Arabidopsis thaliana: one gene and its partner. The protein of the gene in region 2 purifies or fractionates together with the protein of the main gene of each other region. This does not show direct contact. Each region holds a gene or a part of one and is shown on either strand. Other genes may lie near its edges.

Evidence for each region.
Region 1: the proteins of TOZ (region 2) and AT3G21540 fractionate together in Arabidopsis thaliana (co-fractionation; one large-scale study listed by BioGRID). This does not show direct contact.

What each region holds. Positions count from the first base shown.
Region 1 is NC_003074.8:7,585,363-7,593,165, forward strand, and holds AT3G21540 (transducin family protein / WD-40 repeat family protein), read right to left. Parts: upstream 5,637-7,803; 5' UTR 5,495-5,636; coding exon 5,261-5,494; intron 5,063-5,260; coding exon 4,847-5,062; intron 4,733-4,846; coding exon 3,611-4,732; intron 3,368-3,610; coding exon 3,245-3,367; intron 3,087-3,244; coding exon 2,905-3,086; intron 2,618-2,904; coding exon 2,386-2,617; intron 2,158-2,385; coding exon 1,948-2,157; intron 1,765-1,947; coding exon 1,636-1,764; intron 1,519-1,635; coding exon 1,450-1,518; intron 1,261-1,449; coding exon 1,138-1,260; intron 1,057-1,137; coding exon 1,006-1,056; intron 915-1,005; coding exon 738-914; 3' UTR 524-737; downstream 1-523. Other genes in the region: DMP2 (transmembrane protein, putative (DUF679 domain membrane protein 2)), read right to left, coding at 6,346-6,900.
Region 2 is NC_003076.8:5,503,613-5,511,425, reverse strand, and holds TOZ (Transducin family protein / WD-40 repeat family protein), read left to right. Parts: upstream 1-2,064; 5' UTR 2,065-2,159; coding exon 2,160-2,456; intron 2,457-2,582; coding exon 2,583-2,765; intron 2,766-2,923; coding exon 2,924-3,085; intron 3,086-3,240; coding exon 3,241-3,461; intron 3,462-3,570; coding exon 3,571-3,853; intron 3,854-3,969; coding exon 3,970-4,104; intron 4,105-4,328; coding exon 4,329-4,447; intron 4,448-4,899; coding exon 4,900-5,056; intron 5,057-5,242; coding exon 5,243-5,489; intron 5,490-5,570; coding exon 5,571-5,647; intron 5,648-5,846; coding exon 5,847-5,966; intron 5,967-6,077; coding exon 6,078-6,208; intron 6,209-6,297; coding exon 6,298-6,472; intron 6,473-6,561; coding exon 6,562-6,885; 3' UTR 6,886-7,184; downstream 7,185-7,813. Other genes in the region: ITPK1 (Inositol 1,3,4-trisphosphate 5/6-kinase family protein), read right to left, coding at 577-1,536. UniProt on the Arabidopsis thaliana protein: Essential protein involved in the regulation of cell division planes during embryogenesis which defines cell patterning, especially longitudinal division planes of the proembryo, probably via the regulation of embryo patterning genes expression patterns.

The DNA of each region.
Region 1 (7,803 bases), on a different chromosome or scaffold from region 2:
AGAGACATAATGGAATGAGGCATAGTCACTTGCATTGAAGCAGAACTCTTAACACAAACAACTGAAAGTAGTAATCCTCCACAAGAAATTGCAAAACATAAAATTCAAAGCTTGTGTAACTCAGGAATGAACAATAATCACTTGATGATATATTGCAAGGGGTTTGTTTCTGTAAAATTGACCCAAGATGAAATTTTTATTTCCTTTATCATAAACCCATTTCACACGCTTTTATTTCACTATATGAGTGAGAATATTTTCAGAAATCGAAATCCAAATTGTAAGAAAAAATTTCGTGTAATGCTCATAATCTCGATCGTTTTGTGTGTATATGTATATTGTATATACGGAGCAGAGAAAGAGACCTTGAGGTAGGCGCGAGAATCAAGTAAAAGCGACGGTGTCCGACGAAACTCACCATTCGATCACCGTCGCCGTCATCACTGTTCCGCCATTGCAAAGACCTTTACGTTAACCGGAAATTAGTGGAGCTCGGAATTAAACCAGACTGGTTTAATCAGTCTTAAACCACAAACATATCATTTATTCACGAATGGCCCTTTAATTTTAAGAAATGTACAATTTTGACCCTTGGTAACGAAAATTTATATTTTGACCCTTTCGAGCCACATTTGACATTTCCACGAAGTGATTTAGTAAAACATTAAATGGAAGAAAAAAAAAGGTTACAACAGGCAAAATTGGATTTAAATTAACCATCTTTAAAAGTTACATCCTCAGAACAAAGCATGGCCATGTTGTCCTTCCTCTAATTTCTTCTGCTTCTTCTTTCTCTTTTTCTCCATCTTTGTATCTCCTCGTGATGCCATACGTTTTGCTTGCTGTGACCTTATCTCCAATAGCTTGGCCTTTGCATCTTTGAAGGGAGCATCAGATCTTGCATCCATCATTTGCTGCAAAACACCACAGCTTCACTTTAAATACCCACAAAGATGAGATAAAATGCTAAAAATGAACATAATCCAAAGTGCGAAATGTTTTTACCTTGACATGATCCATGGCGGCCAAATTGAAACCGATTGTATCTTTGCATGCCTGATAAGTTCCAGATTCATATCAAAACCAATTCAGAAATAAAAAGATATACAACTCAACAACATTTTCCTCTTTGCTAACCTTGATTTCTGAGTAAAGAATGTCCCTGAGAACGCTTAAGATTGGTCTGGCAGATGGTGTTGTTACCAACTGGTTGTGATGTGTCTGTAATATAATGGTTGCGATTCTGCTAACCAACTCTACCTGCAGGATTTGGTAACAAACATTAGAGATATTCTAAGACGAGAAGGATGGATCTATAATCTGTTGTAAAAATATAACAGGTTGATGACCCAGATCGAGTACATTCTACTTTACAACACGAAGCTATATCTATAAGCCCTTCAGAGCTAAAATCTAGAATCTACGACACAAAAGGAGTATATAATTTACCTTTTCGGGAATTAAACTCCAGTCTTTCATGTAGCAAAGAAACTTCAAAGAATCTGAGAATGGTAGAGCCTACATAAAACCCAAAAGAGGAAAGGGTATTGATTAACATAACCATGGATCTAGTACGAGTTGGGTGCAACCAAGTAACTAGTAAAACGATGGTTTGATGGAAGAAAGGCAACCTACCAGCAAAGTCTGCTCAAGATCATTTGTTCTCACATTTGAGATGGCCCTGAGAACATATTCGGACGGAGAAAGCCCGAACATCACAGCGTTGGGTAGGTATTCAGGAACTTTTCCCTTTGTTTTCTCCTCCTGAAGATTGGAAGAAAGAAAAATCACGATGCAAAGAACAAGTAGGAAACAAAGTAGCAACCGTAGATATTGGCATAACCATTTTGTGTTAAATTCAACTCCAAATTAGCCAAAAACGAAGTACCAACTAGGGGGATGTCATGTCGATATGTATAGATAAACAAACAAAGTAACGATTCCCACCTCATAAGCAGCATGACGCTTTGTTTCATCTTCTGCTACTTCCAGAGCATCTATAATTGAATCAGCAGCTGATAGAACATCTATCGTCTTCTTGCCAGCTAATGCTGCAACACCTTCCTCTGGAATTTCCTCCATGGGTCCATGCCTGTCATCTGCTGCATTATCAATCTCAGACTCAAAAAGCTCTTCTAACCTCTTTTCCTTCTCTTCCTGCATTATTTCCAGTAAAATTACATTAATTGACCTAAAGTCACATAAAATAACTCGTCAAAATATACTTGAGATTTATGTAGACATGACAGTATGACACCAAATCTACATTCACAACCACATACACATAGAAGAGTTATTATATTTGAATGCTTGAACTTGCATGACTTCCGTATTTGATTTCATCATGTAAACTGAAATAAGTAACTTCCAACAGTGGGGAATTACCTCGAGGAAGAAAGGTTCTTCAGAGCGATCCCAGCGACGCATGGAGCGGTCATGAGATCCTGTTACGAGAAAATCACCACGGTTACTGATAGCAAGGCACCAAATCTCTGCATGATGTCCTTCAAGCGTTAACAAATGCTCGAATTTGTCAGCATCCCAATACTTGACGAGGCGGTCTTTCCCAATGCTGAACAGATAATGGGTATTCCGAACAAATTTTACACCCATGACACTGTAAAACAAAGTCGCGTGTCAGTTAAGCTCCACAATCTTTTAATGATTCCAAGGAGTCTTTAACACAAAATATAATATTTGCGGTAATAATCAACATTTTACTAGCCAAGTAAATCTGTTGGGAAGATACTGGAAAAGGAAAGGGGTTTTCTGCTTATATATCATGTCATGCAATTAGTCATACTGTTTTCTTACACAAAATTATAATATTCAAGGAAAAACTGGGTCCACATTATTGAGTACGTTATGCCATTTTCAGAAATATGGTACGAATTATGGAAGTACCTGTCACCATGAGCAAAGATAGACTTATGACAATCACCAAAATCCAAACCCCAAATTTTCAAATTTTTGTCCTGAGAACCAGTAACAATCAACTCTCCATCTGATGAGATGTCAATGCACATCACAGGCAACTTGTGGCCATATAAGGAGAGGTAGAATTTTAGGGAATCCATGTAGAAAACCTGAAACCAATATAAGGTACATAAGTTAGTGTTACATACGTCAATGTAAATGATAATACGATAGATACGATTATAAGAATGTGGTTAGCGTATCATTTATATGACGTACTGAAAATTATTATTTTCTCATTTACATATGCCATAAACAGAAAATCTACCTTCACTGTGGAATCAAGCAGTGCAACTGCTATGTGTTTAGCATCCGGGCTGATAGCAACAGCAAGTACATCGTCATTCATCTTCATGGACTTAACATTTGAAACAGTGAGTTTCTTGGTCGCCTGCAGGTTATCAAACACAATATGTTTTGATCGAATCATTTTAGCACACTGTAATATACTACTCAAATAACACTAATAAACAATGTGCTCATCAACAACTTTCTTAAGAGTGAGCAATTCCAGAAAACAAAGGCACGGAAAACAGGAGATGGAAAAAAAGAGAGTAGAGAGGCAATCTATGATACAAAAACGTTTACTTATCTAATAGAGAAAATAAAAGAAACTTAAGGTCAGGAATCTCACCTTGCCAGATTTCTGTTTGACTTGGTATTCCCAGAATTTGACTTCATGATCTGCACTGACTGTGACAAACCCGCTATCGTTTGGAATAGGTGTAATTGACCAAATAGTGCCACCATGAGCCTTCACTTCTTCCACTTTGGTAGCGCTCCCTATATCAATGATTTCAAGTACCCCACTCTTGGTTCCAACAATACCATACTTGTTTTGGGGAACAATCAAACTGCATAATCCATATCCTGAATCAATGGTCCGGAGGCAGGAACCTGTACTGGGATTCCAAATTTTTACTTCACTGTGACTGGTTGACATCAAAAGGGTGTTGTCTTCACTGAGGGTAACACTCCTCACATCAGAGCGATGTCCTTGGTGTTCAATGGTAACAGTTTTCGCGTTTTCGCTGCTTTTAAGGGAATAGAATTCCAGTGAGTTATTGTTCAAAGAGAGAGCTAATGTTCCTAAGGATTCTTTTGGAGCTGTCGGACAGAAAGAGAAAGAGCTGATTTTTCTCCCAGCTCTAATGACTTGTAAGAGCTTGAAAACATCAAGGACAGTAGGACTAGAAACAGCATCAGCTAGTTCAATTTTAGCACTTGCTTCGCCATTAGCGGTTGAATTTTCATCCCCCACTTTGGAACTCTTCTTCTCTTTTCTGCGAAGCCTACGCTTTGCTTTCTGCTTAGCCTCAGCTTCATCCAAAACCCGGAATATTTCAATAGTTTTACCTGCCATTTGACAAGCCAGAAGTTTTCCCGAAACATTGAATCTAACTCTCGCAACTCTATCCTTAGTTTGTCTCTGAATTTCCCCAAACAGCTTTAGAATTTCCCACTTGTTCTCTGTCGAATGTTCTTCACTGGCCTTGATTTCATTTGCATTTGAGTCAGATACCAATGATCCGTTAGACGAATATTCCTTGACAGCATAAAATCTAAGTTCTTGATCAGCCGACCCAGTAACAACATATCTCTCCTCTGGATCAGTATCAACAGACCACACTTCACTATGATGACCACTAACTATTTGCATACAGTGTTGGGTCTCAAGATCCCAGACTCTCAAGAACTTGTCCTTAGATGAACTTACAAGTTTCTTACCACCATCCAAGAATACAAGATCTGTGACCTACATTAGACACATGAACATTGCTCTTGTCAAAAACCACTATAAAAACCCACACACCATAGCAGAATCATCAAACACTAAATACTAGAAATATCAAGCTAGACATTAAATAACCTGATCTCGGTGCCCACGGAGACGAAAAAGACCTGATTCGCCAACAACATCCCACAAGATAATATCATTATCTTTACTTCCAGATGCAAGCATCGATCCAACCTTATTGTACCGCAAAGCAGTCACCGCCCCCTTATGGCTATTAAAATTAACCTCACAAGTTCCTTTCTCAGTATCCCATATTCTTATGCTCCCATCTGCATACCCAACTGCCACCTGGTTTATCACACAGAATCAAACAACAGCAAACTCCTTCAGATACTCAATAGTACAAAGCACCATGAATATTATTAATTCTAGCTTAAAATTCAAATACGACATTTCTAGCTCTATTTAGCTACCAAATAGATTACAAAGTGAACAACTTTCAAGTCATTAAGCAAATCAAAATAAAAAACGAACAAAAGTAAGTACCAAGCTAGAAGCAGAGGAGGCTATAGAGGTAACGGCGAGAGATGGTCCACCGCGAGAGGAGGAAGGAGTTAGGGTTTTGGAGCAGACACCTTGCCGGACGTGCCATATTCCGACCTTCTCCAACGCCGGAGCAAGCACATACTTCCCCGTCGAATCGTAAGCTATGTTCGAATCTACAGATGAAATCACACCGAAAGAGGTCGCTGCATCGTATCTTTGGTAAGCCTTCACCATTCTCCAAAAGCTTTGGTTTTGATTTTCTCTTCTTCTTCTTCTTCTAGCTTTTGATGGCGGGATTTAGGGTTTTAGAGTGGTTAAGGCAGCAGGGTTCTAACATCCAATGTTACTTTTGATAAATTGCGATATAGTCTTAAACCTTTTGTCTATTCAATATTTAACCCCTAACTTTATTTCAATAGATTTGAAGCCCTTACTCTTCGGACCCAAACTTTTGTTTTCTCAATTTGCAACTATGTTGTGTAATCATTGGTACTAAGAACGAAACAGAACAAACAAAAAGAAAAATGGCTCACGACATCCATGACCAATATTAGTAATTTTTTATCATTTTCTTAAAAATCAATGTATAATAATTGAATGATTATCATCTAAAGAAAATCAAGAACGTACACTTTTTATCTTATTCATACTCTAGGCTTACCTTTTTAACATCCACATTAATTTTTTTTATTTTTTTTGTTAAAGGGCCCATCCACATTAATTTTTCCTAGCTAATTTCTTTCAAAATAAAAGGATATATAGAAATATTTGTGTGTATATACATTAGTTCATATAAGTGTCTCTTAAGTTTCAACTCCTTAACATCTAGTGATTTCAATAATGCTGATTCACTCACTATGAGCATAAAAAGAGATATGTTATTACTTTTGAGTTTATCAACAAACATATGGAAAAAATACCAAAAAACAAACACACAACATATGATCAGCATTCAAATACATAAATAAAAATAACAAAAAAAAAGATCACAATTATAAAACTTTCGTATTTACCATTCCACGAATAAACACATGCCATTACATTTTAATGTTTTATGCATATAAATAGTATAAAATCATATACTATCATTTCATCTCGGAAGCATCATCCTCACTGTGGTCCGAGGGATTCCCAATTCCGTGACGTCTACTAGGGAACACCGTGAAAACAGCACCGGAGATAACTCCGATCACCGGAGGCAAAACCATGAGAAAGATCTTCCCAGCGGAGCCAAAGCCAGGATAGAAACAATTCACGGTGTTTGCATCCAACAAGGAAATAACACTGAACACGATAAGAGAGAAGAAAGCGTGAACGAAATCTCCAACTCTAAGCCTTTTCGAAGACAAATCCACTGAAGATGAATCTGGCCAAAGACCCTTCACGGTGGCAACTCCATAATGAACGTAACCGTCTCTTGTTCGGTAACTATCGGTGAAGCAAGTGAAGCAACAAGAGAAGGCACAAATAACGATGAGAACTCCGGTTAAGTATTTGTTGATGAGGAGGCAATGTCCATTGTTGGTTAGGACAGGGTTTAAAAATTGGAACAAGAAGACGGTTCCGGTCGGGAGGAGCTTGATGAGGTCTCCTACGCCTGAATATGTCCGGTCTCTTATGGCTTTGAATGTTTTCGACATTTTTTTGTTCTTCTTTTGTAAATTATATTTTTAGTTGTCGTTTATAGTGTTCTTGAATGTGAATTCATAAAAGTGTTGTTTGTCGAGTGTTTATAGGATGAGAGAGAGACATTGCTTCTACGTAAAAACGGGTTTGGTGTTGCTTATACTCTTTAGAAAAAGTTGGGGGAAAATTTAATTATAACTTTTTTATTTGTTTAGGTTACCCTTTTTAGTATTTTAGGCTTGTACTAGAAAACGTGGCTTGGAGGATTAGATTCGTTATGTTTCTCTTTGTATTAGATACATAGAAGTGTGAAGTCATTTTTAATGCTCCATTCCATTTGTTGTCACACATATCGTCATACGGTCGTTGAAAGATCTGGTAGTCCAAAACGTATCGAGTGTGAAACAATATGTTTGGCAAGTAGACCGGAACATGTATAAATTTATTTATATATTTGAATCTTGTTAAAAACATTTTTGTGTATTTAGAGACTACACATAGGAAACTACTGATTTATACATATGGTTTACTCGACTTAATAGTTTGTTAAAACCGGTTAAGTTTATGAACGTTTTGTAGAACCTGTGAATACTCTGTTTTTAAATAAAAATAAATAACATAACATTTCTAAAGTAGTATGATAGTATCACAGCCGTTTCATTTGTGTGAATGTCGCGAAAATCAATATGCTCTCGGAGTTTCATTGGTTGTCACACACTATAGATTCAGTTCATTCAACCTTAGTGATCATCATGATTTGACGCTCGTCTTAATTCATCTTGATACATCGAATTATAATTCGTCATATTACATTCGTACACAAGTCAGGTCCAGATGGGGTGGACAGAGATGCGCTGGCTTTTGGGTCATTGTCTTTTCAAAAAACTTTCAATATAGATGACACGAAAAGCCCAAGA
Region 2 (7,813 bases):
AAGATGATTCAAACAAGAACCATATACTTAAGCACCAAGAATGCAGAGACAAGAAAGCACAGGACGAAGATACAAGTAACTGGAGATATCTTGCAAACCATCTCCATGTCTTAGAAATCCGATACAAAGACTTAGCACCGGTTTCACATAAACAGTTCATAATATAGAGAATGGAAAAGCATTGCCAAGTGAAGGTTACTAATCAACTTATACCAATGCTTAATCAAATATCTCAGTCTTGTCAGATTTGAGGAAGAAAACAGGCACCATAAAAGCTTGAAAAGAAATCACAAACTACCAACAGTTGAGAACAGACCACATTGCCAAGAATTTAGAGATTCAATGCTTTTCAAGAGTAGCAACAGTTATGCATTTGAACATGGCTTTGCAAAACTCGGAAGTAAACAAAAGAGAAACAACTAAAAAAATATAAAAAGCACAAGTTCAAGAATCCAAATGAAAATTAGCAAAGCAGCTAGTCACCATAGGCCAGAATTGCAATGGCAGTTGCAACACATTGCAATGGTACAAATCCTCCCCAACAATGTTCCTGCTAACTCCCCAACAGATTATTTCTCAGACATGATTCTTCTTAGTGACCATGTCCCAGAAGAACTCAGTCAACACAGGCTCGTAAGAGGGCATCTTAGCATATCCAGGAAAGTAGTTAATATCAATTATAAGGTACCTATTAGCATCTTTGGCATCCCTAATCACGTCGAAGTTAAAGAGATTGAGTCCCATTGATTCCCTCATGGCCTTTGCTAGATCTGTCAAGAAACTTAACGGAGGCATTTCCACTTTCTCTAAGCTCCTATCCTCACCATACTCAATGTTCTTGTCCTCTTGAGCAGTCAGATTCGATATCTGCGAAAACGGAAGAGACCCTTTCGACGTCCCAATCTTCTCTTCAGAGATATCAGGTAAAGATCTTCTCTTTACACATTTGACATGATCTCCAACCACATAGACCTTAAAGATCACACCACCATGATTCACAAACTCCTGCAACACAATAGGAGCTTTCAAAATCTTCATCCCTTCTTGATCATAAATCAAAAACATCTTATGAGATTTAGCACTCCCATCAGCATCCAACGGCTTAGCAATCACCGGAAACTTAAGCTCCCCTAAAGCTCCTCCACCGCTCAAGACGCTCGAATCCATAACAACAACTTGCTCCGGGACACCAAATCTCTCGCTATCTGAAACAGGAAACCTCAATTGAGTTATCACCTCAAGCATCGAAACCCTATTGTGCAATCGCTCGATAGCCTCAGGCAAATCGATTACAGGAACACCAGGACATTTCTCGCGAAACTCATGAAGATTCTCCTTCCAATACACATCGTAAAGCTTGTGGATTATGCAATCAAGCTTCCCTTGCTCCAACAACGATTTCGTCGGATCAAGCTTGACCAGATCAATGCCTCGTTGCCTTGAGTGTTCGATCAAAGAAGGTTGGATGAAACTATGCTGTTTCTTGGCTGCGAGTGCGTATCCAACTAAGTATCTTTCCTGGATTGAATCTGACATCTTTCGTTGTTGTTATGCTTCGAAGGTAACAAGATTAGGGAAAAATTCATGCCCAGGAATCAAAACCTCTTCGAGAGAAAAGGGTAAGAAAGGTTCAAGCTTTAGCAAACCCTAGATTTGAAATTCTACACGGAACGTTTAGAAGACTCGATTAGATCGAAGAGATCATACAGAATCGAGATTCCAGAGAGGAGAAATCGTAAAGTTTGGTTTTTTGTGCCCTTTTCTAGAGATGAAATAACAGAGAGAGAAGGGAATGTTGTACACGTGTGGAATCGAATATTGGTACGTGTGAAGATGCAAGTGGCGAATGTTGAACACGTGTTAGCGTGCGAAAGAGGACGAGTCTAGGTCTTTTTCATTAGATGGACGGTTGCGATTGCTTCATAATTATTATGGGCCAATTATATAGTTCATGGGCTTAAATATTTGGATCTCAAACGCAGACGCAAACGCAAACGCTTAATTTGGTACGTCTTAAAATTTGGTACCAATTGAAAAAAAAAGACAAGGTATAAAAGCGAGCTGCTTAAACCCTAATTCTTTCTCCGGCTACCGTTTTTCTTCGCGCAAAGTCCTTCAACGTTCTCTTCACCGGACGGGAAAGAGAGTTCGCCGTCGTGATGGCTCCTCATTCGTTAAAGAAGAACTACAGGTGCTCACGATCTCTAAAGCAGTTCTACGGCGGTGGTCCTTTCATTGTTTCATCTGATGGTTCTTTCATCGCCTGCGCCTGTGGTGACGTCATTAACATCGTTGATTCTACGGATTCATCAGTGAAATCCACGATTGAAGGCGAGTCGGATACGCTCACTGCTTTAGCTCTTAGTCCTGATGATAAGCTCCTTTTCTCTGCTGGACATAGTAGACAAATCCGAGTTTGGGATTTGGAAACCTTGAAATGCATTCGCTCTTGGAAGGTATATATATATTGTACTAACTGATATTGAATTAGGTTTCTCTTTTTTAAAAAATTTGATTTCTAAATATGATTATTGTTGTCCTTGTGGTGTTTTAGTCTATAATTTGTGCTTAATGATGAGCAGGGACACGAAGGACCTGTGATGGGAATGGCTTGCCACGCATCTGGAGGATTGCTAGCTACTGCTGGAGCTGATAGGAAAGTTCTTGTTTGGGATGTTGATGGTGGTTTCTGCACTCATTATTTCAGAGGCCATAAAGGGGTTGTGTCAAGTATCCTCTTCCATCCTGATTCAAACAAAAACATTGTATGTAACAATTCCGTCTATGGGTCAAATTATCTGGGAGTAGTATTTGTGTTATAAAGGGATAGAGTTTCTCGATTATAAAGAGATATGTTATTCTTGTAAAGCTATATTCCACTTTTGTTTGATGATAAGAGTGTGTTCTTGATGGTGTGGTGTAGCTTATCTCGGGAAGTGATGATGCAACCGTTCGTGTCTGGGATCTTAATGCAAAGAATACTGAGAAGAAATGTCTTGCCATTATGGAGAAGCACTTTTCAGCTGTGACTTCAATTGCTCTATCAGAGGATGGATTGACTTTATTCAGTGCTGGAAGAGATAAAGTGAGTTCTATATCCTCTCTAGTTTAATTGAGTTGCATCTTCAGGAGTAGGACTGTTTTCTGTTGGTGTTTTGTTAAATGGTATGAGGCAGTAAATTACGGCCTTTATTCTAAAGTTCAGTTGATTACTGGTGCTAACTTATTGGTTAATCACAGGTTGTGAACTTGTGGGACCTTCATGATTATAGCTGCAAGGCTACAGTTGCAACGTATGAGGTACTAGAAGCTGTGACAACAGTTTCTTCTGGGACGCCTTTCGCTTCATTTGTAGCTTCTTTGGATCAGAAGAAGAGTAAGAAGAAGGAATCTGATTCTCAAGCAACATATTTTATTACTGTTGGTGAACGTGGTGTTGTGCGCATCTGGAAGTCTGAAGGGTGAGCCTTTAATAGGTTTTGTTACGTTGATAATGTTTGGTGTAAAGTCATATAAACTATCCTGGCGTAAGAAAAATGTATTGAAATCTTTGGCTGTTTACTTTGACAGTTCAATTTGCCTCTATGAGCAAAAGTCGTCGGATATTACTGTCAGCTCGGATGATGAGGAATCTAAAAGAGGATTCACTGCAGCTGCTATGCTGCCTTCTGATCACGGACTGCTTTGTGTGACTGCTGATCAGCAGTTCTTTTTCTACTCCGTTGTGGAAAATGTGGAAGAAACAGAGTTAGTGCTAAGCAAGAGGCTGGTTGGATATAATGAAGAAATAGCTGATATGAAGTTCCTAGGTGATGAAGAACAGTTTCTCGCAGTAGCTACAAATCTCGAGGAGGTAATTGAGCTTTTTTCAGCCTGTATCATACGGGCTTGGTCATTATCCTGTGAGTATGATCAAGTCTAAGATTCCATTATTCATGGACTAAGATTTGCAAATATATATATATGCAGGTTCGTGTATATGATGTTGCAACAATGTCATGTTCCTACGTGTTAGCTGGCCATAAGGAAGTTGTTCTGTCCCTCGACACTTGCGTATCTAGTTCTGGGAATGTTCTAATCGTAACTGGAAGTAAAGACAAAACTGTAAGTCCATTTACTCACCTTGTAGTTTTCATAAATTATGTTACGTACCACGAAAGCTAGATTAGTAGGGATGGAATTTTTTGTTCAAGATTTCGTTAGGGTTGTTTGTAGCTTATGTCATTGCTTTTTCATGCACATCATTCCCCACAACATCACCTACAAAAAAACCTTTTCTGCTAGAGTGATCTGTGGACTCGGTTAACTTGTATTTGATTACTTTACAGGTAAGGCTATGGAACGCAACAAGCAAATCTTGTATCGGAGTTGGTACTGGCCATAATGGCGATATCTTAGCGGTTGCTTTTGCGAAGAAGTCCTTCAGTTTCTTTGTCAGTGGAAGTGGGTACGTGCTACATAAATGATTGCATATACCTTTTATTTTGATATAAGTGAAGCATGATGCTTCTAGTTTATGCATATATTGTTTATAACAATGAGGAAATCCTGATTAGGACTCTGTTCTTTCTTTACCCAGCCACCCAACTGAGGAAATATAAGAAAGGATCAATTACCCAGCCACCCAGCATAAGGCTGTTTACTGTTAGGCCTTATACTGGAAAATAAATTTTTCTATCAGATTAGTAGTATAGAGACTGTGTGGTCGAGAATTTTTGACTTCTGTTACCTTCATTTCTCAGTGAAATATTCTGGCTGTAACTAATTTGTGTGCATAAATGCAGAAAGTGTAGAATCTGTCTTGATTGTTAACATAGAGACATGTATCTATTGTTATATCTCCTACCAAACTGTAGGGATATATTTTTTTAATCTCTTAATTACGTTCCTTTGGATTAGTGATCGTACACTGAAGGTCTGGAGCCTTGATGGTATTTCAGAGGACTCAGAGGAGCCCATTAATCTGAAAACTAGAAGTGTTGTCGCTGCCCATGATAAAGACATCAATTCCGTGGCTGTTGCTCGTAACGATAGCTTAGTTTGCACTGGTTCTGAGGTAAGACAATATGATGAGCAAACATTTGTTGTTTAAGTTTATGGTAATTCATTCTATTGAACTTTTTTCTAATACAGATGAATTGAGAAATTTGTCTTCCTTTCTCTCCTATTGAATGAAGATGCACTGGGCTCTGATGGAGACATGCTTCACGTTCTTATCTGACTGTTGGTTTCTGTCTTACAGGATCGTACAGCTAGCATATGGAGACTACCAGACTTGGTACATGTTGTTACACTTAAAGGACACAAGAGGCGGATTTTTTCTGTTGAGTTCTCAACTGTTGATCAGTGCGTAATGACAGCTTCAGGAGATAAGACAGTAAAGATATGGGCTATATCTGATGGTTCCTGCCTCAAAACATTTGAAGGTCATACCTCAAGTGTACTTAGGGCCTCATTTATAACTGATGGAACCCAATTTGTCTCATGTGGTAAGTTTCACTAATCACTCACTACACTGATGTCATTTCTTCTTCATTTTTAGTTTTAACATTCTAACCATGCACTTGTAGGTGCCGATGGTTTGTTGAAACTTTGGAATGTGAACACTAGCGAGTGCATTGCCACATATGACCAGCACGAGGACAAGGTGACATAAACTGTCCTTGGTTTTTGATGTATCTTGGTCTGCCTTTGATGCTATCATTTATAGGATTATGAACTTCGGCTTGCCTGTATTTGTATTGGAAGTATTTATTTTTAGCCTTTTGATGGAATATGTTCATTGCCATTAGTCGCAGAGACCTCTTGCTATTCTGTTCAGACAAATAACAGTTCAACTTTTACAGGTATGGGCTTTAGCTGTTGGAAAGAAGACAGAAATGATTGCAACTGGTGGAGGTGATGCAGTTATTAATTTATGGCATGATTCAACCGCTTCAGATAAAGAAGACGATTTCCGAAAAGAGGTCTGTCAGTTCACTGATTAGATAATTTCTAATAGTCTGGTTTCTGTGGAGCAGTCATGTGTGCTTGATCTTTAGTCCGACCATCATTTTTGAAACACTTCCGATGTGCAGGAAGAAGCAATCTTGAGAGGTCAAGAGCTGGAAAACGCAGTGTTAGATGCGGAATACACTAAAGCTATAAGATTAGCATTTGAGCTTTGTAGGCCTCACAAAGTTTTTGAGCTCTTCAGTGGTCTCTGCAGGTAAAAAAGCCATCTAAGAACACGTACCAATTGCTTTCTTTTCTCGATATTAAGTCTCCTCCTTTTCTTACATGCAATTGGTGTAACAGGAAAAGAGATTCAGACGAACAGATAGTGAAAGCTCTTCAAGGACTTGAAAAAGAAGAGTTCCGTCTACTTTTTGAATATGTCCGAGAATGGAACACAAAACCAAAGCTATGCCACATTGCTCAGTTTGTTCTTTACAAAACCTTCAACATACTTCCTCCCACAGAAATTGTTCAGGTTTGGTTTAACATAAAAAGTGAAAAGATCAATATCAGTAAATAGTATCGGTTTCGCTTGGATTGATTTCGGGATTATTTTTCCAACAGGTAAAAGGAATTGGGGAACTCCTGGAAGGGTTAATCCCATATAGTCAGAGACATTTCAGTAGAATTGACAGATTTGTAAGAAGCAGTTTCTTGTTAGACTACACACTTGGTGAGATGTCTGTGATCGATCCAGAGACTGTTGAGACAGAGTATCCTAAGGACGAGAAGAAAAAAGAAAAAGATGTCATTGCTGCAATGGAACAAGACACAGACGAGCTAAAGCAGGAGACTCCTTCGAGGAAACGAAAGTCTCAGAAATCCAAAGGTAAATCGAATAAGAAGAGACTCATTGCCGAAGCACAGGGAAGCGTAATTGCAGTTTGAGTCTTGAAATACTTCATCAATACCATGGCATGAATTATAAATTTGATTGAGATCTGAGGGGTGGAATCCCAATTTTTGGTTATTCTCGTTTTCTTGTGTAATTGCCTAAATTGGTTGTTGTAAGTGCTGTTAGTTTTTAAATTTTTGTTGAGATTTAAAAAAGTATTTCGTAGCTGAAAAAGATCTATTCACCTTTTTGTTGTTTCTAGATTTTTTTTTGGGTTTTTGGTTTTACGTCAGCGTATATTAGCGTCATGGGAACGAACATGATTAGTAACGTAAAGTCGACCAAATTAGTATATCATTTCTTCATAGAATTAGAATCTGTGTAATACACGTCATGCATCACATAAAACATATCTTAATTTTATGGTTCATGAGGATCTTCACTTCCCATTATTATTCCCTCTTATCACTCTTTCAGCTCACTATTTTTTCTACCTAGACATCTCCTTAACATGCAACTTACAGCATAAGTAAGTGTCATAGATACCAGTTCATTTAACACCCACAACTTTACATAGATTGCTACGAAATTTTCAGGATTAATTTGAGTTTTCTCTAGATAAGCTTGATTACTCCAAATTAGCCATGTACTTTAAATACTGATGATTGTAGAGAGTGGAGAGAATATATGCAAGGTTATGTCTCATGAAACGTTCTAGAAGCCATCTTAATGTAATTAAGCTTCTAGTTTTCACCAGTGCGTGTACTCTGTACATCTGTATTTGGTTCTAATAGTTGCAACTAACATTAATCATGTGTTTTTAATATTACGTCATACATTATGCATGGAGAGGAGATGCCTAATTAGTCACCTAAATAAAATTTATATCGATTAGATTCTTCTAATCAGTCACCTAAATAATGTTTTAAAACAACTCTTATGGATATAAATATAAATAGGTCCCCCGATCGGCACTCGACA